3 linked regions of the Rhinolophus ferrumequinum genome follow. The protein of the gene in region 1 purifies or fractionates together with the protein of each later gene. This does not show direct contact. Links are inferred from orthologs where the notes say so. Each region holds a gene or a part of one and is shown on either strand. Other genes may lie near its edges.

Region 1 (8,328 bases):
CTTATTGAGCATCTATTTAATATAAACGTCATTGTGCAGAATCTAAATACGAGTAGCATTTCTGCCTAATATTTGTTTTTTTCCCTTCCTTTTGTTTTGTTTCTATTTCCTAATAGCATTGTTTGTCCAAAAGTAAATTTCTGATTTGCTGTATCTCTAGTACGTATTTTTGAAAATTAAAGACATTTACATCTGACCTTTGTGTCTTTTCTACCATCCAAGAGAGAACACAAATAATCACCAAGGGTTTGAAGCTAGCAATAAATAGCTGCTTAGGAATAACAAAGTAAGTTCTTTTGTACATAATTTGATATATGAAACTATTACAGAAATGTCAGTGGAACAGTCCCTTCTTAGCCTGTCAGATTTTGTAAACTGACCTACTTAACTCTGCTTCTTGTCCTAGACTCAGAATATTCAATCCCAGCTGACTAATTCTTCTTGGTGCTCATCTACTGGTTTTAACTTCTCAATTTATAGGTCTCAGTGAAGCCCTAATAATAATAATAGCAAGAACTTGCTCACATTTATTATGTACTTACTTTTTGCCTTATAGTGGTCTAAGTAGTTTACATTTACTTAATCATTTAATCATCAGAATAACCCTATATTATTATTCTCATTTTATAGATGGCAGAACTGACCCAGAGAACATGTATAACTTAAATTCATGTCAGAACAACAAAATACTCTCTAAATATTTAAATCAAGGCCTACTTAATTCGAAGAATGGGTTATACAGGTAACGGAAGACCTGAGAAGACAAACAAGGACAGTGAGTTAAACCAAGTTTAGCAACAGCAAGAACTCATTTTGACTCTTAAATTGGAGGGATGATGGAAGCAAGCAAAATTTCCACCAGGACCTTGAACCAGGGTAGGCCAGTCTGGTGAGAGCTAGAACCCCCAAAGACATATGGCCCAAGGAGATGCCACCCAAACGGAGAAGAAGGAGAAAGAGAAATAGCCTGGCTTTTTTTTTTCTCTCACGCCCTCTCCCTCCTTCCCCCAATACAATATCTACGTCTCTCATTGGCCAAATCCATTCTCAAACCAGCTGACCTGAGAGCATGGACTATGCAGGGATAGTTTTTTCTGTGATTCAGAGAAAAACAATAGAAATGCATGGAATTTACCTGATAGCAAACAGGCAAGGATTATCCAAAAGGCTTAAGTTGCTTAAGATCATAGAGCGAGCAGTCCCTGGGTTGTTCTTTGGGATTTGTATATGTGTAGCCATCATGGGCCCTGAATATGGAAGACAGAGGTCTTGGGAAGTGACATTAACTTATATAATTTTCTCTGTCCATATATGTCATAGGATAATTTCAGGGAAGTGTATGCCTACTACTGTAGAAGAGGAAGAAAGGTAAGAATGAGAAAGGGCCTGGGGACTAACCATTTTCATTGCCCGAGAATGCCTTTGGGCACGTTCAAGGTAAGGGAGCAAGTGATTCACACAAGAAATCACCACTTTTGTGCTGGCTCTCAGTTGATAAAGCGTAGCTGTTATCCAAGTAGGACCTTGCTTTTAAAGCAGAACTTGCAAATCAAAAAAAAATAGTTCACATTAAACTAGATTTCTATTTCAGAACTCTTTCCCCCAAAATTATTCTAATTGGAAATGTCAGTATTGGCAGAAAATGAAGAGGTCTATCTATCCTTTAAAGTGTTAATACAGCTCGTAGCAATATATGAGGTGATAGGATGGAGCAGGAAAAAGGATATTTAGTGGCACATAGGCATGAAGTGTAGGATTAAGTAAAGTAGATTAAATATGACTGTTTCGAGCTGAATTGTGCTCCCCCAAAATTCATGTTTTGAAGTCCCAACCCCTAGTACCTCAGTATATAACTGTATTTGGAGGTAAGGTCTTTAATAAGTTGGCTGAGTTAACATGAGGCTGTTAGAGTGGGGCCGTAAGCCAATATGACTGGTGTCCTTACAAAAACAGGAAGAGACACCAGGGGAGTATGCGCACAGAGGGTCAACCATGTATGAAGAGGCAGCCAGAGACTGTCATCTGCAAGCTGAGGAGAGAGGCTGCCAGAGGAACCAATCATGCTGGCACGTTTATCTTTGACTTCTAGCTCCAGAACTATGAGAAAATAAATTTCTGTTGTGTAAGCCATCCAGTCTGTGATATTTTGTGATGACTTCCCTAGCAAATTAAAAGGTAATATTTAAAGATTCTCAATGGGTAAGGCACCATTGGCTGCTGGAGATACTAAAATGATATGCTTTGTAATGTAAAACAACATGGCTTCCAGAACCACAAAGCTGTGCAATTGGAATGAGAAGTTCAAATTAGACATGCACTGCAAAAGCATCAATAAACTTGGTTTCTCTCCTTCATGGCTGCCCACTTCATTCAATAAGCATTTTATTGTGACTGTATCAGGCAGATAGCACTTTTACAGTTTTGAATCTATGAATGCCCTATCACTGAATGGTACCATTGTGACATCATAGAAAGCTCCTCTTTGAATAACGAGGTTTAATAATAATAATGCTTATGGTTTCCTAATTGGTGGTGGTGGGGGGGAGTTATCCCAGGATGTCAACATACTTACTTAAAGAAGGAAAATAATTCTTAACCTCCTTGAAATAGATTTAAGAACCACTCTTTTATCATGGAAATTGTTCAAATCTACACTACTAATTAAATGATTCTCTCTTATTCTTGTCTTACAAATGTGTTTTAGTAACATATGAAATTTTTGGTGTCCAGAAATGGATTTTCAAACCCTTTCTAAATAAAGAGAAATGAATAATCAAGATAGAAGAAAACCAATTTCCTTGGTTCACATACAAGTCACAATAGTGAATATTGTTGGAAACATCATTTTGATCCAAAATAGAAAAATAGACTTGTTAAAAACTAAATTTCACATTTTATAAGAACTCTATCACTTTATGTGTTTACCTGAATGTCAAATATCAGAGTAATGGAACAATTTAGGAATGATTAAATAGTATCCTGAGGCTATCTTACTCTAACAACTATATATACTAAGGCTGACTTCTGAACAGCACAACTGACACTGAGCAAATTTTGTAAATAAATTGGGATATCTGGCAAAGGGTCTTATGTGAGAATTTATCTCAAATTCTCAAATTTCCATCTTTTACTCATTCCAATTGTACTCTTTTTTAAAAAAGAACGCATATAAGGAAACTTGAAAATTTCTTATTAAAGTTCTACAAAATAACAATTAAGTTTAAAAAATATTAAATAGGAAACCATCAGAAGCAAGCTGGGAATCAATGCTCAAAGTTCGCAAGTATGACTACCCTCTAAAGAGCTTTTATTTGGGTATAAAAATGGGTATGATAATTTTTTGTGTGTGGAATTAAAACATTTAATTCAAAGAAAGATTTATTGCCAAATTCTTGAGACTAATCTTTAGTATCGGGCAATATCTTTTTAAACCACAGTACTAGATTTTATGTTAAATTTAACTTTCTTAAATTCAAATGTCATGAACCAGATAGATTTAAAACAAAATCTATAATACAGAGAAACATGAAGATATGTCGGAAAGAACTTTGGTCTATAAATGAGGAAAATGGGTTCTAGTATGCCTTCTTTGACAAGTCACCTCTTAGGGTCTCAGTGTTCTGATAAAAAATTTCTGCATTCTATCAGGACTGTTGCATTATTCCTAAAATCCTGGGTTTCCAACCATCTCACTACTTTTCAAATTCTTCTGGCAAACACACAGGATATCAATAAAATAAAGTTTGTAATTTGTCAAAATCAAATGAGCAAAATATGTGAAGACTCGAGGGAAAGATCTCAAAAGGTGGTTAAAGACATCTAAGGTACAAAGTCAGTTGTAAAGTGAACAGATTTGTTACAAAGACTTAAGAAGTACTTGATTCAGGATTATTAAATAAAACTAGATAATATTTCAATGATCATTTACCAAGTTTGTTTTTCTTGTCAACAGATTAAAAACCGGATTTGCATGTGTGTATTGTGTTTGGGACAATATGCACTGATCATTCCGCCCCTCCTACCGCAGCACCCTCACCTCCAATCCCCAGGTTAACTCCTGAACGTCAAGATATTTTTGAGGGTAGAGATTGCTGTCTCAATGTTCGGTTTCCCTTATAATTCCATATATAGTCAAGTATTCCATGCTGGGTGGTTAATTGATAGTTTGGCAACTGGAATACTAAAATTATGCACCATGTAGGCAGTGATACTTCTGTAATGTCTGTTGTATAGACCGTAATTCATTTACATCAAATCTTGGAGAAGTAAACCTTATTTCTCCAGATCCTGGCAGTGACTGGCACATGTACGAATGAATGAAGTAGACCGAGAATGCCAATAATCATTTATGTACTGATTACTTAAGGAGAAAAGTGCATTCCAGCCTAAGGACTTCTGACAGCCCTACGCTTAAATCACTCTTTTCCCTTAGGGCAAGTTTATTGCTTGTGAAATTCCTAGAAATGAGAGGGCAGAGGACCGCAGACGTAGAAAGGAGCCGGGGTTCGGGACCCAAGCGGTTTGGGGACGTTACGGGGCCTAGACAGAAATGTTTTGTCTTGGCGGAGTTGGGAAAGCCGGCGACCGGACAAGTCCAGGGCGCAAGCAGGAACGCAGCCCTCCGCTCTCGGCGTGGAGTTTAGCGGAGCCAAGTTCTGACGTCGCGTAACCTGCCGCAGGGGCGGCTCCAAGGCCCAGCTCGCCAGGCGCGCCCTCGCCCCACCCGGGGGCGCCGGGCCCGCGCCAGGCGGGGCGGGGCCGGGACTGGGGGGCGGGACCCCGGGGCGCTCCGCCCCGCCCCGCCGCCCCGCGGGTCACAATGTAGGGTTAGGGCGGCCGGCGGGCGGGGCTCGGCGGGGGAGGAGCCGCCGGGCGGGGGCGGTGACGGCGGCTGGGGGAGGGGAGGGAGGAGGATAGCGCCATTCTGGCCGGCCGCTCCCTCCGTTCCCTGTGCCTTCCCCGCAGTGGCCCGTGAGCGCCCGCGAAGGAACGCGCGCGCGCGTGACGCGGCCCGCCTCGCTCGCGCCCTCCCGCGCCCCAGCGTCCGCCGACCGCCCATGGCCGGGGCCGCGGCGGAGCAGCCGCGCTGAGGCGGCCGCACGGAGCTGTGGGCTCGCCGCCGTGGCCCTCGCCGTCCGCGCCGCGCCGCCAGCCCGCGGTCCCCGCGCACGCCTGCCGCCATCGCCTTCGCGCCTGCCTGGCCGGGGCGCTGTCCTCCCCGGCCGTCCGCGCCGCTGCCTGGAGCTCGGCGCAGCGTGGCAGCCAGGGCCGGCGGAGGCGCGAGGAGCCGGACGCCGCCGCCTGTGTCGCCGCCTGTGTCGCCGCCGGTGCCGCGGGGGCCATGACCGTGGAGCAGAATGTGCTGCAGCAGAGCGCGGCGCAGAAGGTGAGGCGAGCCCGCGAGCCGGCGTAGCCCGGCCGCTCTCCTCATTCCGACGTGCTGTCCGCACCCGCCGGGACCCCGAGCTCCCCGGCCTCCCCGCCCGCGCTCGGGCCTCCGCGGCCCGGGCTGCCTCCCCCGCCACCCGCCGCCTCTGCCGGTGGTCTTCGGGGGTGTCGCGCCCAGTGCCGGGCTGCGTGTGGGAAGCGGGAAGTAGTTAGCGGGTTTCAATCCACTTCCTTTTGCTGATTGTTTTCCTGCAACCAACGGAGCCTGGTATTTATTGGGAGCGACTCTCACATTCCTACACTGCTTTATATGGCTTCTTAATTAAACTTTATTAAAACAAGAAGAGGAATAGCCAGTTGTCATCCGTTCTGAACACAGTTTGTATTTCGAAGGCAGGGACATTCCAGGCCTGCTAGTTTGCAAAAGGGTCTCCTCCAGAATTGAATTGCTTGCCTGGCAGGGCAGGTACGTTTACCAGGTGGACTCTATGTACAAGTAGAGGATTTGGTTGGTTCCTTTTCCTCTTTCGGTTTCTTTTTCTTTTTTTTCTGAAACTGCCCCTTAAGAAAGGAAACCTTCCTGGCCATGTTTGTTCCAGGAATCTTTTGTCCCCTAAGTTTGACCTTGTTCCATCGTTCACCCTTGATTCTTGCCTCAGTCACACATTCAAATGGTCACTCAAGTTTCAAAAAAAAAAAATCTGTTTGTGAAGCTTGAGATCGTTCGTTGTGAGTAGTGAGAGGTGCTCCTTTTATTCTAGATTTTGCTTTCAGAATCTCCAGTGCACTATCATGGCTTGAACTATGTTCTGAAGAGTAGTTGTTGGCTATGACTTATTGTGTGTGTGTGTGTGTGTGTGTGTGTGTGTGTATGTGAGAGAGAGAGAGAGAGAGAGAGAGAGAGAGAGAGAGAGAGAGAGAGAGAGAGAGAGAGAGAGAGAGAGAGAGAAGCATTTGGACAAAAAGAAAACAGTGCTTTAATCGTGTTAGAATTATGGAGATAACTGGTTTACTGTCAACGGCTGCCAAAGACGTGTTTGGCTTATCTGAGCGAGGGATAGTGCCCCGCCCTGTTACAGGTTTGACGTGGTTATATCCTACCTGTGCTTGGTTATAGAATAGGGCCTCCTGCCCTAAAATGGGCTATGCATTTATTTACAGCCTGCTAAGTTTTTGCTTTGAAATTATTTTTAGAATTTTATGATGGTACACGAGGTAATTGAAGATGCTCAAGAATTTTGGAAAGCAAGGATAGTGCATTGTTATTTTAGGCACTTTGAGAAAGTTGTCTTGGAACTTGTGTATTGGTTAACTGTTACTGGTAAATTTAGAAGATTATTGCACACTGCAAATTATTTGCAGAGTGAAATAATTTCTAGATTTAATAATAGGACAACAGTTCATCTCCTAAATCCCCTCTATTCTATTCTGAATATCTAAAACTTTAGTTTTTGATGTTTGAGTATATAATAAAGTGTTAATACTTAGAACAGGATCTTGGGATCATATGTATACTAAGTAATGTTTAATAGGTTTGTTATTTTTATTTATAGTTCTTTTCAGTGTCAAATATTAAAGTCTATTTCAAAGTGGAAAATGTAGCTAATTCTCACGTCTCTTAAATTTGAACAATGGCAAGAAATTTGTGAGTTTTTTATTAATAAAATTGATTTTGACTTAAAGTATTTCTTTAGTATAGAACCAAATACAGATCTGCATGCTTCAGAGTTTTGTGCATAAAATTGTAAGATCAGGAATCAAATTACTGAAATTACTTGATCTTGGTCATCAAGTCCAATTTCATAGTTTAATGGACCCTCTCCTTACATAAAGACAATAGTTGTTAAATTTAAAGTATTATCATTATGATGCTATTTTTAGAGTGTGTATGTCAGATCATTTCATTGATATTGGGGAATTGTTTTAGAGCATTATAATTTATTATACTTCTGTCATGGTATTTATGTGTTTTTTAAAAGAAACAATGTGTTTGTTTGCTTCCTGTATTTATGTACTATTACTTTGTTACTCAGATTAGAACTATTTTAAAAATATTTATATGGGTATAAATACTTTATACTGTCTACTTCAAATAAATTGATAGATTTAAATCCACCAAGCTAGTAACTAGGAAGTGGACTTCAAGCTAGTAACTAGGAAGTAAACTTCATACTTTACAAGAAACAAAAGTGAAACTCTTTGTTTTTATTTCTAAACTTGATGAATTACCAGTAAAGTGAGAGTTGTCTAGTGCGTATTGCACAACCAAAATTTTAGTCTATTTTCTGCTCTCCTTAAAAAAATGGTGTGTGTGTGTGTGTGTGTGTGCGCGCGCGCGTGCACATGTATAACATTAGTTTTATGTAAATAGCTGTATCTGGTGGTTGGAACAGTTTCCTGTACTTTCAATATTCTTTTTTTGTTTTCTTCCAGAAAGATGTGTGATTAGTGATAATTTTTTTTAAAGCAGCACAACACAAGACTTTCATGGGTCTTTTGTTTACCTACAAAGTAGCTTGTTACAGTATAAGTCAAAGGGCTTCCTTTTTCTCTGATGTGTTCTTTGCTTGATTGCTGAAGTTTGGCCATGCCAGTTAAGAAATGTAGGAAAACTGCAGAGCTGCTTTTCTGAGGTTTGGATAATGCAAATGAGGGGAGTTGGAGGCAGATTATGTACAGTTAAAGCTTGTCATAGTTTGATCTTGAATATGTATCTTCAGCTTTTGTGCTTTATAGTTTTCCTAAGTGTAGGATCCTTGGATCTTAGAAATTTGATACATAGACTCCGATCCCAAGTGAGGATTCTTTAGGACAGCAATGGAAGGCTTCTACCTAGGGACCTAGACACTGTTTTATAGAATGAAGTGAACTGGATACTATTTACATTAAATGCATCCTTCTGAGTTGAGTAAAATGTAACGTTCATTAAGAGCAAGTATT
Region 2 (7,688 bases), on another chromosome or scaffold:
CTGAACTTAAAATCCTATAGCTCTGTTCAGCATATTTCTTTGCTTTTATAGTATCGTAAGTTTTACTGAACACAAAGGTAGAAAATAGCAGAGCCTAAATTTAGAGCAAAAGCCAAGTCTCTGAAACCTGAACTTTGCTAAATAATATGTATAAAAGCAACTCTACGGAAAATAATATACAGGCAGAAAAAGTCGTATGTTTCATCTGCAGTAACGATTTAGTCAAATGACAAACTTGGTTTGTCAATTTACTATGTAGTGCTTCTATCTCAATTCAGTATGACTATACAGACATTTATTCTCTGCTATTGAATTCCCATTTGAATAGAAATAGCTGCTAGATAAAAGAAAATAATTTAAATTTAGAAACAATTTCACTATGCCTGAAATTCCAATTTAAAAATTATATATGTGTATGTATGTATATACATATGTATGTGTGTGTGTGTGGGGAGAGAAGTCTCTCCTCCCTCTCTCTAGCGATACAGACTTAGGGCTATACTGTTTTTTCAAGTTAGTATTTTTAAATTTACTATTTCTCCTTTCTGCCTAAGAAATTTCACACATTCTGAGTGCACCAACACAATCTGGTGAGTTGGCAGCTATGTCAAAAACTATGAAAAAAGGGAGGTAGCTAATAATACTTGGCGACTTTTTGTTTAATATTTTAGGTTAGAGCTGGCAGCCTCCCTTTGATGTTTTGCAGTCAAAAGATGAAAACTATCAACTTTGAAGCATAATGAACATAATTATACATTTACTACAATCACCTACAATTTGACTTACACAACACCACAAAAGGACATCTAACCTTTTTTTTTCACAGATCTTTTTACATTTTTTAAAACAGCTGGCTGTGTTGAATACATTTTCAGAATGCATTTAACCATTTGATAAACATACTAAGTCAAACAATACAAATAACATCAGTTACCTTTTTAATCTAATAACTGTACTAATCATTGAAAGAAGATACAGCTGAGGGGGAATGATAAGATCGTCCATATGCACTGCAAAAACATTAAGACCTTAGTCCTAAGAATGATCTGAAGGTGCTGAAAGAGGTGATTCTCTAGAAGGTGACCCAGGGTTTTCTTCAGGTGGAAAAACTGTGAGAGTACAAGCTCGAATGCCACCAAGTGACTCTGGAAGGTCAAAAACTTTATGCCACTCATCCTTTTCTGGGTCATATTTCTGGACAATTTCTACCATACAACGATTATTCCAAGAATATCCACCTACAACATAGATTTTATTTTCAAAGACGGCAACTCCAACATCACTTTGACCCCTTAACATCGCAGCAATTGGTGTCCACTGGTCAAGGGTTGGTGAATAGTATTCACAGCTTAGTACATCATCATAATCACTTGTTCCTCTGAAGTGATTGCCACCAATGACATAGAGCTTGTCTCCAACTGTACACATGCAATGCAGACCTCTGACTGTAGTCATTGGAGCCTTCTGTGTCCATTTGTCTGTGTCTGGATCAAAACACATGAGCTCGTTTTGGAAAGTGTCATGAGTAATTCCTCCTGAAATATACATTAAGCCTCCATACACTGTTCCAGCATGGCCATAGTGGGGTTCACTCATTTTTGCAACATAGCTCCACTCATTCATTCTTGGGTTGTAACATTCTACTGTGGCCAGTTCACCAGCTGCACTTCGCCCACCAACAGCATACAGATGTCCTTTGAGGGCACTCAAGTGGAAGAACGTGCGCTTTTCATTTAATGAGGCAACCTGCATCCATTTATTATACCGTGGATCAAATCTGAAAACTGTATCAACAGCAGTTTTTCCTTTCGTATCATAATTACTTTGACCACCAACTACATAAAGAAAGTTTCCAATGACAGCAATGCCATGCTGGTAACGAGGAGCATCCATAGGGGCTAAAGATCTCCACTCTTGTGCCCTTTCATCATACATCCTTAATTCTTTACTGACAACCAGCTGCTGCCTCAGAACTCCTCCTAATGTAACCAAATGTGTTGAGTCCGATCGAATGGCAGTTCTATCTGACTGCATCACTGGCTGCATATATGGCATCATTTGGTAATTGCTAGCTTCCAAAAGCAAATTCACACAGGTATTGTCCGTTCTCATGAAATCCACTGTCTGCACATAATTGATGAGGTCCTGTGGTGTCATCAGTGGAAATCGAATATTCTTCATTAATTTTGCAGCATAATCCATTCGAGGGTCTTCCAACCTTAGCCAGCGACAGGCAGCCTTGAAGAGCTCAAGTTCCGTACAGTGCTTAAGACTATTACTGGAAAGCACAAAGGCAAGCCGTTCAAAAGGGAGTTTTAGAAACTCCCCAGTACTCAATAATGCAGGAAAATTCTTCAGGATAAAATTATTGACATATTTATCCACTTCTATAAGGTTATAAGTGTTAGCTATTCGCCCAACTTCAACACAGTTATCTAAAGAGACTCCTGAAATAAGAAACACTTTACAGAAGTCCAAAACAGGTAAAATTTGTAAAAAGCTGGCAGCTTCAAGTGTGTCCTGAAGATTGTCCATATTAAGAGAAAGTTTTGCAGTATAAATAAAATCAATTATTTTCTTCAGACCAACCTTGTTCACGCCATGAAGCTTAATGCACATTAAATCTTGTTCTTTCATTCCACCTGTAAACATAGCTTTGAAATAATCACTAGCAGACGCCATCATAGCTCTGTGAACAGGGAAAATTTCATCTCCATCACCTGGTACCAAAGTCACATCACAAAGCAATCCTTCTATTCTAAGCTGATCAAAGCCTTGCAATACCACCGAACTGTGCGTATTGCTGGTAAAAAATCGTGTGGTTCCTGCCTTGCAAGGCTGTAAATGGGCGGAAACGCCCATTTCGCCGTTACCAAGAGACACTTTCATGGGAAAGCCTCTTGCACAAAGATGCCAGAGAAAGAAGTTAAAACCGGAATGCTTTCAAGGAACCGAGGATGTCCAAAGCGCAGGAGATCCGCTTTCCTTGTCAAGGGCAAGCAGTCACCGTGGCACCCTTCTGAACACACCAATCAGTCATCCACTTAAAAGGGTTCTGCAGCAGGACCACAAAGGGCTGCGGACATCAAATCTGATTGTTATGCAGATGATTCATCATCTGAAGGCAGTTAATTGACCCGGTTCACCTTGTCTGGCCTGCGCTGCCGCTCCTCCAGCAGTTCCGCTCCAGGCCAAGGGGGAGGCACCGCCACGTACTGCGGCTCCGCGGCTCGCTCGCCGGCGAGGCCGGGCACCTCAGCGAGCAGCCTGCTGCGTCCTCCGCCGTCACTAGAGCTTCGTCGTGGCCCGGGCTTTCTTGGAGCAAGGGCCTGGAACACGGGTCTGGAACACGGGCCTTAGCCCCCGACGCCCAGCCGGTCCTTTCCGGAAAGGCCTAGTCCCAGGATCCCCCGGGCTAGGAGCGGCCGCAGCACTTACTGCGGCTGCGCGGCGGCGCGGCCGTCCAACTCGCCAGTGGGCGGGGGCGGGGGGAAGGGGGAGGAAGTGCGCTGGGGACTGGAAGGGTAGGGGGCGGGGGAGCGGAGCTGTGCCGGGTGGGCGCGAGCCGGCCCTCTTTGGGTCATATTCTAGGTGGGACTAAATAGGCCAGCACGTAGGTTATGCTGCACGTTTGGTATAAACTGCACAGCTTCTGAGCGCTCCACCCCCCACCCCCACCCCAGGCACACTTTTTGTTTAAGGTTTACACTTCCTGGCTTCTGCCCTTTGAATAACAATGAATTACGGCTTTTATATAAATTGAAGTAAAACATAGCAGAGGAGGGCGGGGGGAGGGGGGGAACGATGCTTACAAGTTTTCCTCTTTAAAAGACTTTTTCATTTATATCCCACACCATTTAATTGACACTTCAATTATAACTGTTTTCAATCATTTAAAACACATATCATCTGTCTCTTTAAATACCAAATTGTGACTGTGCTATGTAAATAATATAGCCTGTATTTTTGCCTTCCAGTGGAATTCCACCATCAGTAATTCTCCATGCTTTTGTTTTCCATTCAAATTTTTAAACGGCTACACAATTGTCCGATAACTATACATACCGGTGCTGTCCTTTCCTTTGCCCATTATTTGTTCCTGAATTCTTGTCCTCCATTGTTTTATAGAATCTGTAATTTACAGAATCTGGGCACAAAACTTTCCCATTTTGGGATAAATTCTAAGACATAAATATTTCTTTCCAAAACTCACAATAGATGTTTTGAATGTGCTTTTCCCTTCTATTTATCTTTCCTTTTATAGATATTTTATTAACTTGAATTTCTTTAATTACTAGTAAATTTAAATTTGTCATATGAATAAATGTATACTTTGACAAAATTCTTCCAACATTTTCCTCAGTTGGAAGTTACAACTGTCTTTTAAATTCTTCTAGTTTCTTTTATGCATATGCAAACTAATCAGAGTATAGCTATATTCTTTTTACACTCTCCCAATTTTTATGTAAAAGATACTTACATACCATACTCACTGTTCTGCACCTATCTTTTTTTCACTGGAAGATCTTCCCATATAATAGAGAACTTTTTTTTTTAAGTTTATTGGGGTGACAATTGAGAGAACTTTTTAATCTTTTTTAAGCAGTTCTATTTTTACCCACGAATAGGTGTGTCATAAATTATTTACTCATGGACAGTTAGCTGTTCCAGTTGTTTTCTGTTGTTTCTGAAGGATGGCAGCAAGATCCCAAAGGCTCAGACCACTGCTATCCTCCACCAGATGTCTCAGCAGATCTTCAATCTGTTCAGGATAAGAGGTTGGCTAGGATGAAACTGTACTGGATAAATTCTTTACTGGACTTTATCAGCATCGGGAAGTCCTAGAGACCTGCTCGATGTCTGAGTTGGGGATGGAAGCACTCTCCTGAGCTATAAAGACTCCATACTGGCCCTGAAGAGGTACTTCCAAGGAATCAGTCTCTGTGTGGAAGAGAAAACAGAGCTGCTGTACCTGGGAAGTTGTGAGAGGAAGAAATCATGCTATCTTTCTCTTTATTATCAAGCTTAACAAAAATGACTAAGAGCTAAGGAACCAGACCCATGCTCTTCACGAAACTATTATGGACAGATATAATTCATCATACTCCCAAATGTTTAGCTACTTCAAAAGACTGGTTTTTTTTTTCTGCCTGCATCATGAAATAAGTTGAATCAAATTTGTCACAACACTTATTGGTAGTGTTACTGAACCACCTCCCAAAATTCAGGTCCATGTCATTGATGTGCTAGTAAACAAACATTGAGACACTGGAGCTTGGAGATACAGAAAGGTTTATTCCATTTGTCCAAAGCAAGAGGATGAGAGAGCAAGATCTCTCAACTCTGTCTTCCTCAAAAAGCAAAAGTAGGGAGTTTTTATGTGGCTAGGGAGCAGAGGAGGGGGAATTTCATGGAACCAAGGGGAGAGTCTGTATTTCTTTAGTCATAGATAACATTTTGTGCAACCAGACTTCTGGGTGTCAGCAGCTGGTTGTAACTTTTATTCCTTCTGTAAAATAAACTCATAAATTCTTCTTGTGACCCTGGAGTTATCTCCTCTTGCTTGACAAAGAAACAGTACGTCAGCAACTTAAAATTATATTGTGAGAACGAGATGAGCTGGATTGAAGAACCAAGATTCTGCAAAAACATCTCATAATTGTGCATCAGTGACGTTCTCTTTAAAGCAAAAAGCAAAAATTGGACATCTTGTGACCATCACCATTGTTTAAGGTATCATTGTTTTGTGCTTAACTAGCTGTATTTTCTATAAAAGTGTACTTTTGAACATTTCTCCTGGAACTTGCTTTACAGGCAGGCCTTAATCTTTGACTATACGCTGTGTGACAACCAAAGCAATTGAAACATTTAGTTAAAGCCTATACCTATATCTTTAGAGTCTCTGATCTACCTAAACATGTTAATTGTTAACTGATGGTTTCAGTAGTATTAAGCCACTCTAAGTTAAAGCATCCAGTTCCTAGGGCGCCCATCCTAGGTGGCCTTTTTAATGTGCTTACTCGTATGTACTTAACTATCTATTTTACTATATTTATTGTATTTCAATATTTGCTTCCATATCATGTTCACCTGTACATTGTGCTAATTACATAAAAAGCATTCACCTTTATATTTTTTAATTATTCTCTTAATTATTTCAAGTTTTACTTTCAAATCTTTTTTGAAATTTTATTTTAGGTATTTTTTTAAGGAGGGTACAGCTCACAGTTGCCTATGCAGGGATCAAACCAGCAACCTTGGTGCTACCTGCACCACGCTCTAACCAACTGAGCCAACCGGCCACCCCTTCAAATCTTTTTAGGTATGTTTATTTTTAACCAATGCCAAGACTGATTTTGCAACCCCAGTTGAAGGATGGAGTTGAATTTCATTCATTCATTTCATTCAAGCTATATGTAACACTTGAATCTAAATCACAGGCTCTACACTCCCTTCACAGGATAAAAAGGTGAAGAAAGAAAACAAAGGGACAGCTGTCTTGGAATCATAGAATGTGTAAGCTTCAGTTGCTAAGGAAGAAAGAGGAAACAAAAAAATTATAAAGTACAGGTTTACTTTCTAGAATGACTGCCAAAGGCTTGGCATGACTCTCTGCCTTCACTGTGTGCCTCGGGAGCTCCTGAGTGTGTACAGGAGAGCAGAGGCTTAGCAGCTAGGACACCTCAGAGCAGAAGAGAGTTGATTGCAATGATACGTCTCACATTCTAACCCAGTTTCCCCAAGCCGTTAGTCTTGAGGTTCCCCACACTCTTTCGTTATAAAGTTAGCCAACAATTGACGCTTGGGCTCAACTTGCTTCTGAAACAGAAAAACAGTGTGGTGGGTAAAAGACGGCCACAGCTTCTTTAACACTCTTTCTACTCCTTTTAACCTGAGGGGCCCCTGTGACTACTTAGACCAATCTGTTTAGCTCAAAATGTATTCACAAATGATCTGATAAAGTCTTATAAAAAACTCTGGGAACTTGGGCTGGATTGAAGTTGATATCTTTATTTTGTAAATAGGAGCTTAGATACGACGGTCACACAGTAGGCATGTCTTCTCTCCGGTCAGGGCTCCTTCTCCTGCATCACTCGTTCCCTTTGCCCTTCTCTAGGATAATCACAGCAGGAGGGTGCTTACTCACCTAAGGTCTAAGGGTCAAGACTTCCCTCTAGCCGGCCCTAAAATGCCCACTATGGGGATAACTGCCTTGGGAGAGAAACACAAGTGAGTGCCGTGTCTCTAGAACGCCATTGTTATTCTTCCCTAGAAGGCCAAGAACCTGGAGTCTTTCCTCAGCAAATGAGTTTGTAAAATGAACTAATGATCCCCTTGGAAGGTCAGAGAGCCTTGAGGCCACAATAAAAGGGGAGATGTCAGGAGCTCACAGAGAAGCACCAGCTGCTTAGGCAGAACGGAAGCTGATGGCGTGGAGCCAGAAGGGGCTTTAGAGGGAAAATTTGGAATGGGGATCCCATGTTGTTTGGAGACATGCTTGCTGATTTAGGACTAGGTGTTGAGAGGCAGCTAGCGGTCTATAAGAAGGAAATAACTACCACGTGATAGTAAAAAACAAAACAAATAAAACCGGTTCCATTCACCTGAACCTGAGATTTTTTTGCCATCAGCCCGCCTGAGCCTCAATATCCCTATCTGTGAAATGAAGATAATTCCCCCTTTTTGGG
Region 3 (7,935 bases), on another chromosome or scaffold:
TCCCAAAGGGATGGCTTTGGCTAGCGGCCTAGAGCGCACAGTACTGGCCCATGGAATCTTCCATTCTGAGATTTCTTCAGATGCTTGATACCTTTGTCCTTCTAGCCAAAATACATAGGCAGCCTAGCTGACAAAAGCACTGAAATGAATTATTCATCCATCCAGACTCCTGGAAAACAATCTCTTCACTAGGTTACTTCACTCAAAGCAGCACCCATATGGAAACATTACGAAGAAGAAAAAAGGCTCATGCGGGGCTCTTCCCATTTTGACAAATTGAGGGATCTCTGTGGCCCCTTTTCAACACTGCTTCATATCTACCAAACACAAGGCTTTTTCCATCAAGTGGGCCTCTCATCAAGAATTCTCGAAACAAATTATCAAAGTCCACCTGACAACAGGAGGGAGGGAAAGATGACTGAAGGGGAAAAGGTAGCAGTCTTCTGAATCATTCACTCTTTCTGCCCCAGCAGAAGTCCAGAGAGCTCACCTGAGGACCTGCCTATGTCGCAGAAATGCCAGGTAATCATTAATGATCTTGCACAGGACTCATGGCCAAGGGCAGCTTCTCGCTTCAGAGGAGCTTGTCTTTTCTGGCAAAAGCAGAAGGAAAAAAAAATCCAGATTTAGGGTTAAGTTTTATAGGTAGGACATCATGTATCTTCCTGGGTAAAAGCAATAAATACAGTGTCTCTGGCTTTAAAAAGACAGCACTGTGTCTCTTTAGTTACTGTTTGGTCTAAACGATAGACTTGATCTCCCCAGCCCACACGGTTTAAAGGGAATAGGTTGAAAATACAGGGGACCCTTGAACAACACAGGTTTGATCTCTGTGGGTCCACTTATACACAAATTTTTTTCAATGAATACTGTAAATGTATCTTCTCTTCTTTACGATTTTCTTAACATTTTCTTTTCTCTAGCTTACTTTATTGTAAGATCGCAGTATATTATGTGTAACATACAAAATGTGTGTAAATCGTTTACGTTTACACACATTACACACAGTAAAGCCTCCAGTCAACAGTAGGCTATTAGTAGTTAAGTTTTTGGGGAATCAAAAGTTGTATGTGGATTTTCAACTGCACAATGGGGGTGGTGGCCCTAACCCCCGCACTGTTCAAGGGTCAACTGTAATCCCAAAGATGTTACTGAATGAAAGTTTTACATGCTTTGTGATGGTAAGCAAGAATAACAGACAAGGTGAAACGTTAAAAAGCCACTGAAAATAATGTTTGACATTTTTAACAATACGGAAAAATGTTTACACCCAAGAAAGGAAAAAAGGGCTGGCTGTGAACCAATATGATCCCGATTACATAACGAAAATGAAAAATGCATATGCACACATAGGTACAAAACTGCAAAAAAAAAATACACCAACATGTTAAGTAAGAGCAGTTGTTTTGAGAGAGTGGAATTGTGGGAAAGTTTGTTTCTCTAACTGGTGGTCTCAGTGGACCACGCGAGGATGGAACCGGCTACCTTGCTGTTATTAGCACCACACTCTAATCAATGAGCAACCAGCCGCCCGTCTAACTGGTGGTCTCTAGCTTCTAAGCTTTTCACAGAAAGCACCCGGAGAGGCAACGTGGTACTTAGAGGCACTTGTGCTCTGGAGCCAGTACCTAGCTCTGCCACGTACTGGAGGCTCTCCGAGCCTTTCTGTCTTCTTGTTAATTGGCTCAGAGGATGGTTATGAGGACTAAATGAGATAATGTGCATCAAGTACCTACTGCGGTGGCTGACAGAGCACACAGTCAGTAAGTCTGAGGTGTTATTTTTCTAGACACAAGGATTTTGTTTTTAAAGTCTTTGGCAGAGGCTCCTATCCGTACAGCCACTAAGGTTCTTTAGGTAGGAAAAAATGCGGGGACCCTTATAGTCCTTACCCATTAGCTTTTTCCCCCTATCCCTAAATACACTAAGATTCATCAGTCCTGTGACTTGGGCTATGAACCCCTGGCTCTCTTCAGATTGGATAATAGCTTCAAGCTCCTGCGAACTGCAAAAGAGCAGGGCCCCAAGCCATGTACCCAATGCTATGCTCTTTCTTTAACATGTAGATGGTCCCTCATTTATAGGGATGGAGAAGAGGGAGCCTATTCTCAGTGGAAAAATAAGAGGCTGCACGTAAACGGTGACTAAGTACCTGTAAGAATTAGACTATAGTGAGTACTCAGTTAACAGTCTATAGGTTCTTGGAACTGGGGCAAAATGACATATAAGGAAACCAGTTTTACCACAGGCTAATTGAGTTAAGTTCCTACGGCATCTCATCAATGTTATAATGAAATGATTTTGAACAAAGTGTTATTCAAGAACCTGCTGTATCTCAAAACGTTCACTTCTCCCAGGTGGCCTCTCAGGATAAGATCCTTCCTTGAGATTACCTTCCCCTCAGAGACGCTATACGTTGGCTTCTGTTTACACTATATGATAGTCTATACTATGCAGTTTTTTCTAACTCTTTCTTATTCACAGTCTCTACCTGTATTGTGTTTACCACAATCCATCAATAAAACAAAACATATCGTGAAGTATTTACTAAGTGCTTACTCTGCTAAATGCTATGGAGAATCAAAAAAAAAAAAAAGGCTGTATGTAACAGACACAACCTTGGATCAGACAACGTAGTCCTTGGTTCTTTTTAGTTCTGATTCTACCTCATTTGACCAAGTTACTTATCCTCTCTAGACCTCAGTTTCCTTATCTGTAATGTACCTACCTCCTAGGAATGCTAAAAGGATCACATGAAACATTTGCTCTTCTTCTACCTCAATTTAGTCCTCATGGCATAATTTGCATTAAGTGGGAAAATCCTAATAAGGAGGATCTGAAAGCAGAAAGCACATAAGTGAGCTTTACTGTATTGTCCTTAAAAAGCTTACAATCATTAGGGAAACAACAGTGACATACGTGGGAAGATCAGGAAACAAGGAATCCGTGATAACTATGATCATATGAAAAGCCAAAGGAAAACATGTTGTTTGAGTACCCACTATGGGCCAGGTCCTTTCTAAATGATCTCCTCTAATAAGAACAGCAACCCTGTGAGATCATTTAGTATCTCCCACAGCCCAGGTTAGACCGTTAGCAAGCGTCAGAGGAGAGGGTTTTTCATACGAAGAGACAGGGCTCAGACTCTCCTCTACTTCTACATTCACGTGAGACCTGCTCAAAATCAGTCTTTTCTGGAGAAGGCCAACTCCACAGAGAACTATGAAAGAGCAAGAGAATCCAAAACGTATCGTTCAAAGGTGAAGTACCATAAATACCAACTGAGCCCCAAAGGATTCTCCCTATATGGGGGAACAGCTGGCAGCTAGGTTTCATGACCACCACCCTCTAGGAGCGTGCTATTATCAACCCCAACTTCCGAGGGAGAAAAAGAGATGTAGAGAAGGGACATGACTTGTCAGAGGTCGCTAGGCTCCAGAATTTGAACTCAGTTCTAATTCCAAAGCTATTATTTATTTGTAAGTGAAACACACAAGACCCAGAGACTCCCTCACTCACAAACAGCAAAGAAAAGCTGCGAATGCAAGGCTGCCATGGGGCTAAGTTACTCAAATTATAAAAAAAGCTTTTCTTCATTTGTATGATTAACACCAGAGGCCTTTACTGAGCTGGGTGTCAAGCACGGTACTACAACTTGGCATTATACAACACACTCTGTGAACCGAGCTAATTACTCCACTTTACAGAGGAGGAAACTGAGGCTCTGAGAGGTGAGGGAGCTCATCCGCGGTCACAAAGCCAGAACACAGGATTCCAATTCCGGTTTCGGTGATTCCTAAGACCCCGCCTCTTTCCTCGGCATCAACAATAACAAATCTTTTCCACCCAGCGTTAGTCTGTTTATAAAGGCCCCGAGATGAAAAGAGATAGAAAAGGCTACGAAGAGACACCCATCCCCCCCCACCCCTCCCCGAAACGCGAAAGCCAGACGCTACTGAAGCAGCCCCTCCGACCAGGTGAAGCAGCGACCCGGCCCCAAGGCCACCTCCCTTAAAGTCCCCGGCCCCACCATTCGGTGAACCCACGACCCTGTTCCCACTCGCTACCCGCAGGCCGTAGACCTTTATCCGCTCGAGGCCCCCGCGCTCGGGGTCGGAGCCGCAGCTATTGTCGTCTCAGCCCAATACCTCTGAGCTCTGCCAGACCCGGGGCAGCGACAGAGACCCGACCGCCATCTTGCCCCGGGGTGTTCGTTCTCAGAGCTCCGCCGGGAAGCAACTATCCAGTTCCGGGCACTGATAGTTCCCCAGAGCTTCTCCAACCGGGAACGACAATATCCCTGTAGCTTGTCGTCCTCTCTGGAAGCTGAAAAAGCGGGGCATTCAGGAGCGGGATACACGCCTGCTCCAGCAGAGAGGAGATGCAACCCACTCCAGCCAAGCAGGTGGGAAGGAATGCGCCGACCTCAAGCACTACAACGGATCTTTTAGGAAGGCGCCCTCTGCGGGGCGGAAGTGGGGTAGGGACAGAGGAAGTTCCTGCCCCGGCCCCGCCCCCGCGCCCCCCCCAACCACTGGCTCACGCTAGCTGGGTGTTTCCTGCCTCCGTCAGTCCGGGTTTGGAGGCTCCAGCGTTCTCCGACTTTTCATGGTAAGGAGGGCGGTGCCCACCGATGGGGGCTCTGGGCGGCGGAGAGAGCGGGGCAGAGGCAGAGTAGAGGGGGAAGGGACCGATCGGAGAGGGTGCGATGGGGGCTGTCGCGATAGACGATAGGCGGTTGGGGGATTGGATGGGGGCGAGGCCGGGGGTGGGGGTAGGGCTTTGGGTGGAGAATTGCGGGGTCCCTGGTTGTTGGGCACAGAGGCAAAGGCATTTGGGTTTGGGGAGTAGATATGTGTGTGGTGGGAGGGGGGTGTCCCTGAGTCTTGAGTGCTTGTTGGAAATGGGAATTGGTAATTGTAAAGAGAACAAAGAGATGTCACTGAAGACGGACATTTGGGGTGGAAAATGAGATTTGGGGGAGTTGTGAAGGAGAATAGGTAGGTTATGAGAGAGCGAAGTGGGATTCCTTGGGATGGAAAGTTTGGGAAGTTGTTGCAGAAGTCGCTGGATTTCGGGGAAATGGCGAAGGGGGCCTCCCAGGTGCGTCTGAACACACAGGCGAGTGGAGGGAAAATAGAGGGAGTGGGCAGGCGGGTGTGCTTGGCGTGCTTGGAACTCCCCGAAGGGATGCCAGAGGCCTGAGTTCAGGCACTTGCGCCACGGAGTCCAGCGTCTTAACTGGCGCCTTGGTACCTACCTATATGGTCACTTCCGTTGAGGCTGGAGGTGGCCACACCTAAGGAGCTGGGGATGGCTCACATGCAGTCTCCTAGCTGTGGGAAGTTAATGTGTGCTTGGGAGCCTTCATGGGTCTGTTTCTTGAACTTTGTCCGGGGGTGGGAATGAGCAAAGTTCAGCCCAGACCCTCTTTTTTTACTAGTTTGCCCATGTCTCTTCCCCGGAAAGTGCAATCTTTAAGGAAGATCAGTCCCAAAGACACTATTGAAAAAAAATGAGTCAGCCAGTGTCTGACTTCGGTCTGCTCCATTTTGTGTAAAATCAGGACCACCAGTGGCTCTCAGATTATGGTCCCCAGACCTTATAAGAAATGGCCAAATTCTCAACCCCTACCATAGACTACGGAATCAGTCTGGGGTGGGGCCCAGCAATCTGTTTTAACAAGCCCTGCAGGGGATTAGAGCAATGATTTCTTGATTTTGTCTATGTGATGAAAAGGGCATGAGCTTGGGAGTCAGAGTACCCTAATAGTTCTGATTCTTAATTTTCTCCCCTAAAAAGTGGGATAGGTGACAACAGTTTCCTCACTAGACCATTGAGAGAAATAGGTCAATCGTGTGCTAAACACAGGAAGAGAATATAATTTGGTAGAACACTTGGATATAGCAGTACTAGTCCTATAGGTTTTGGATGCAAAATCATGCTACACTTATGTGGATAATTGAATTTAGTTTGATTGAAATGGAATGACAGACTTTTTTATAATTAGCCACAAGGCAGTGACTGTTAGATCTAACTGGTTAAAGAAACAGCTTTGTGGCTTTCAGCTCTGGTCACACATTAGAATCACCTGAAGAACTTTTCAAATAGTAGTTTCTGAGCTGCCACAACCTTCTCTCCCCCTCCCCAAATTTGATTAGTTGTTCTGGGGTGAAGCCCAGGCATTAGTACTTTTTAGACATGCTCAAGAGATTCTAGTACAGCCAAGGCTGGAGAATCTTGGTCTTAAGAAAAGCTTGAGGAGCAGAAGGTAACCTACACTAAGAACCAGGTGCCAAGTACTTTAACATTCATTCCCTGGGGGTTATTATGAAGATCATGACTTTACCTTCGTTTTACAAGTTAGGAAACTGAGACTGGGTTAAATCACTAGTGTGAACATCACACAGGAAGTAGTGGAACTGAACTGCAGTCCAGGTTTGCCAAACTCAATCTAACATTCCACACACATATTTCCCCCACTTACACACACAAGGGAGACCGTTCCACAGAGTTGTATAGAAAACATCTAGGGGTGAGGGATTTGGTACCTTTCTTCTTATTGTACTTGCCTACGTCTCCTTTCAAGTCAACAGTTTTCCCCCATCGGCTGACTTTTATTTTTTAAGCGTATATATAGTTGCTTCCTGTCTGTGGTTTGGAAGCTGTGAAGTAGAGAGGCTTGCTTTTGTTTGTGATGCTGTGGTTTGTTTTTCATGTATGGTCCGGAATCCACTGCGCCAATAGAGCAAGAGGTGAGGGAGCGTCTCCAAGACCATGAAGTTAATTCCATGTTTCCCCGAAGATAAGACCGAGCCGGACAATCAGCTTTAATGCGTCTTTTGGAGCAAAAATTAATATAAGACCCGGTCTTATTTTGCTATAACATAAGACCGGGTATAATATAATGTAATGTAACATAATATAATGTAACATAATACCGGCTATAATGTAATGTAATATAATATAGGACTGGGTCTTATATTAATTTTTGCTCCAAAAGACGTATTAGAGCTGATTGTCTGGCTAGGTCTTATTTTGGGGGAAACACGGTCGTAGCCTAATTAAAGCATCCAGAACTCTTTAGAACAGTGGGTTGCAATTCTGGCTGCACGTTGGAATTACTTGGAGGAATTTTTAAAATTCTGTTGCCCGTGCCACTCCCCCAGACCAGTTATATGAAAAAGTTCGTGGCTAGGAGAACCCCAGGCCTCAGTATTATTGTAAGCTCTCGGGGGAATTTGATGTGCGACCAAGTGGAGGGCCACTGTTTAGAATCAGCAACAGTATACTGAGGGGAGCTGGAAAAGAGAGCTGCCTTGCTCATGCATCTGGAATAAACCTCTTTTCTGATGGAACGGACTCGGTAAGCGATACCTCCAGTATTAATTACCTCACTGTTTCTCGTCACCAGTTTCGCGCTCTCCTACCTCCCCTCCCCAGCCTCATGAAAAATTAAATCAAACCTTTGAAACAAGCTGAAAAGCAGGATCCCTGTAGCAATGGGGGCGGGGGGCATCCTCTGTAGAGAGGTTTGTTGTGAGAGGCTTATTGTCTTCTGCTTTGTGTCCTCAGCTCACTGTCACTCGGGCTCCGGGACATGAACACAGCCAGAACCTTTTTTTCAAGGGCCTCTTAGTATTAATATGACTGGCCTTTGGAGGAGTGGGCTCCGGAGAGGATCAGAGCTTTCTTTGTCTCTTCTGGAGCCTCTAGCTAGATCAGGATGGTTTCTGCCTTTACCTCTTAGTCATGCAGTCAGAAGTCAAGGGAGCTGGAACCAGTCTCCAAAGAGAAGATAATTTGAGACTTTGAGCGCGTTCTCAACTAGTCATCATTTGAGTGTTTCATGTTTGAGTGTTTGCTCTGAGCCAGGGGCTGTGCTCAGTGCTCTGTGGCCTCCCTGGGGGGTGGGGGGAGACACCACCATTGTCC

The links.
Region 2: the proteins of USP25 (region 1) and KLHL9 purify together in Homo sapiens (affinity purification with mass spectrometry; 3 studies listed by BioGRID and IntAct, with this or other methods). This does not show direct contact. The link is inferred for Rhinolophus ferrumequinum from reciprocal best matches to the Homo sapiens genes USP25 and KLHL9.
Region 3: the proteins of USP25 (region 1) and KCTD10 purify together in Homo sapiens (affinity purification with mass spectrometry; 4 studies listed by BioGRID and IntAct, counting the BioPlex papers as one, with this or other methods). This does not show direct contact. The link is inferred for Rhinolophus ferrumequinum from reciprocal best matches to the Homo sapiens genes USP25 and KCTD10.

The regions. Positions count from the first base shown.
Region 1 is NC_046285.1:10,681,999-10,690,326, reverse strand, and holds the start of USP25 (ubiquitin carboxyl-terminal hydrolase 25), read left to right. Parts: upstream 1-5,180; 5' UTR 5,181-5,341; coding exon 5,342-5,386; intron 5,387-8,328. UniProt on the Homo sapiens protein: Deubiquitinating enzyme that hydrolyzes ubiquitin moieties conjugated to substrates and thus, functions in various biological processes including inflammation and immune response.
Region 2 is NC_046295.1:18,597,546-18,605,233, reverse strand, and holds KLHL9 (kelch-like protein 9), read right to left. Parts: upstream 3,426-7,688; 5' UTR 2,890-3,425; coding exon 1,036-2,889; 3' UTR 57-1,035; downstream 1-56.
Region 3 is NC_046308.1:14,112,191-14,120,125, forward strand, and holds the start of KCTD10 (BTB/POZ domain-containing adapter for CUL3-mediated RhoA degradation protein 3), read left to right. Parts: upstream 1-4,510; 5' UTR 4,511-4,608; coding exon 4,609-4,611; intron 4,612-7,935. UniProt on the Homo sapiens protein: Substrate-specific adapter of a BCR (BTB-CUL3-RBX1) E3 ubiquitin-protein ligase complex. The BCR(BACURD3) E3 ubiquitin ligase complex mediates the ubiquitination of target proteins, leading to their degradation by the proteasome.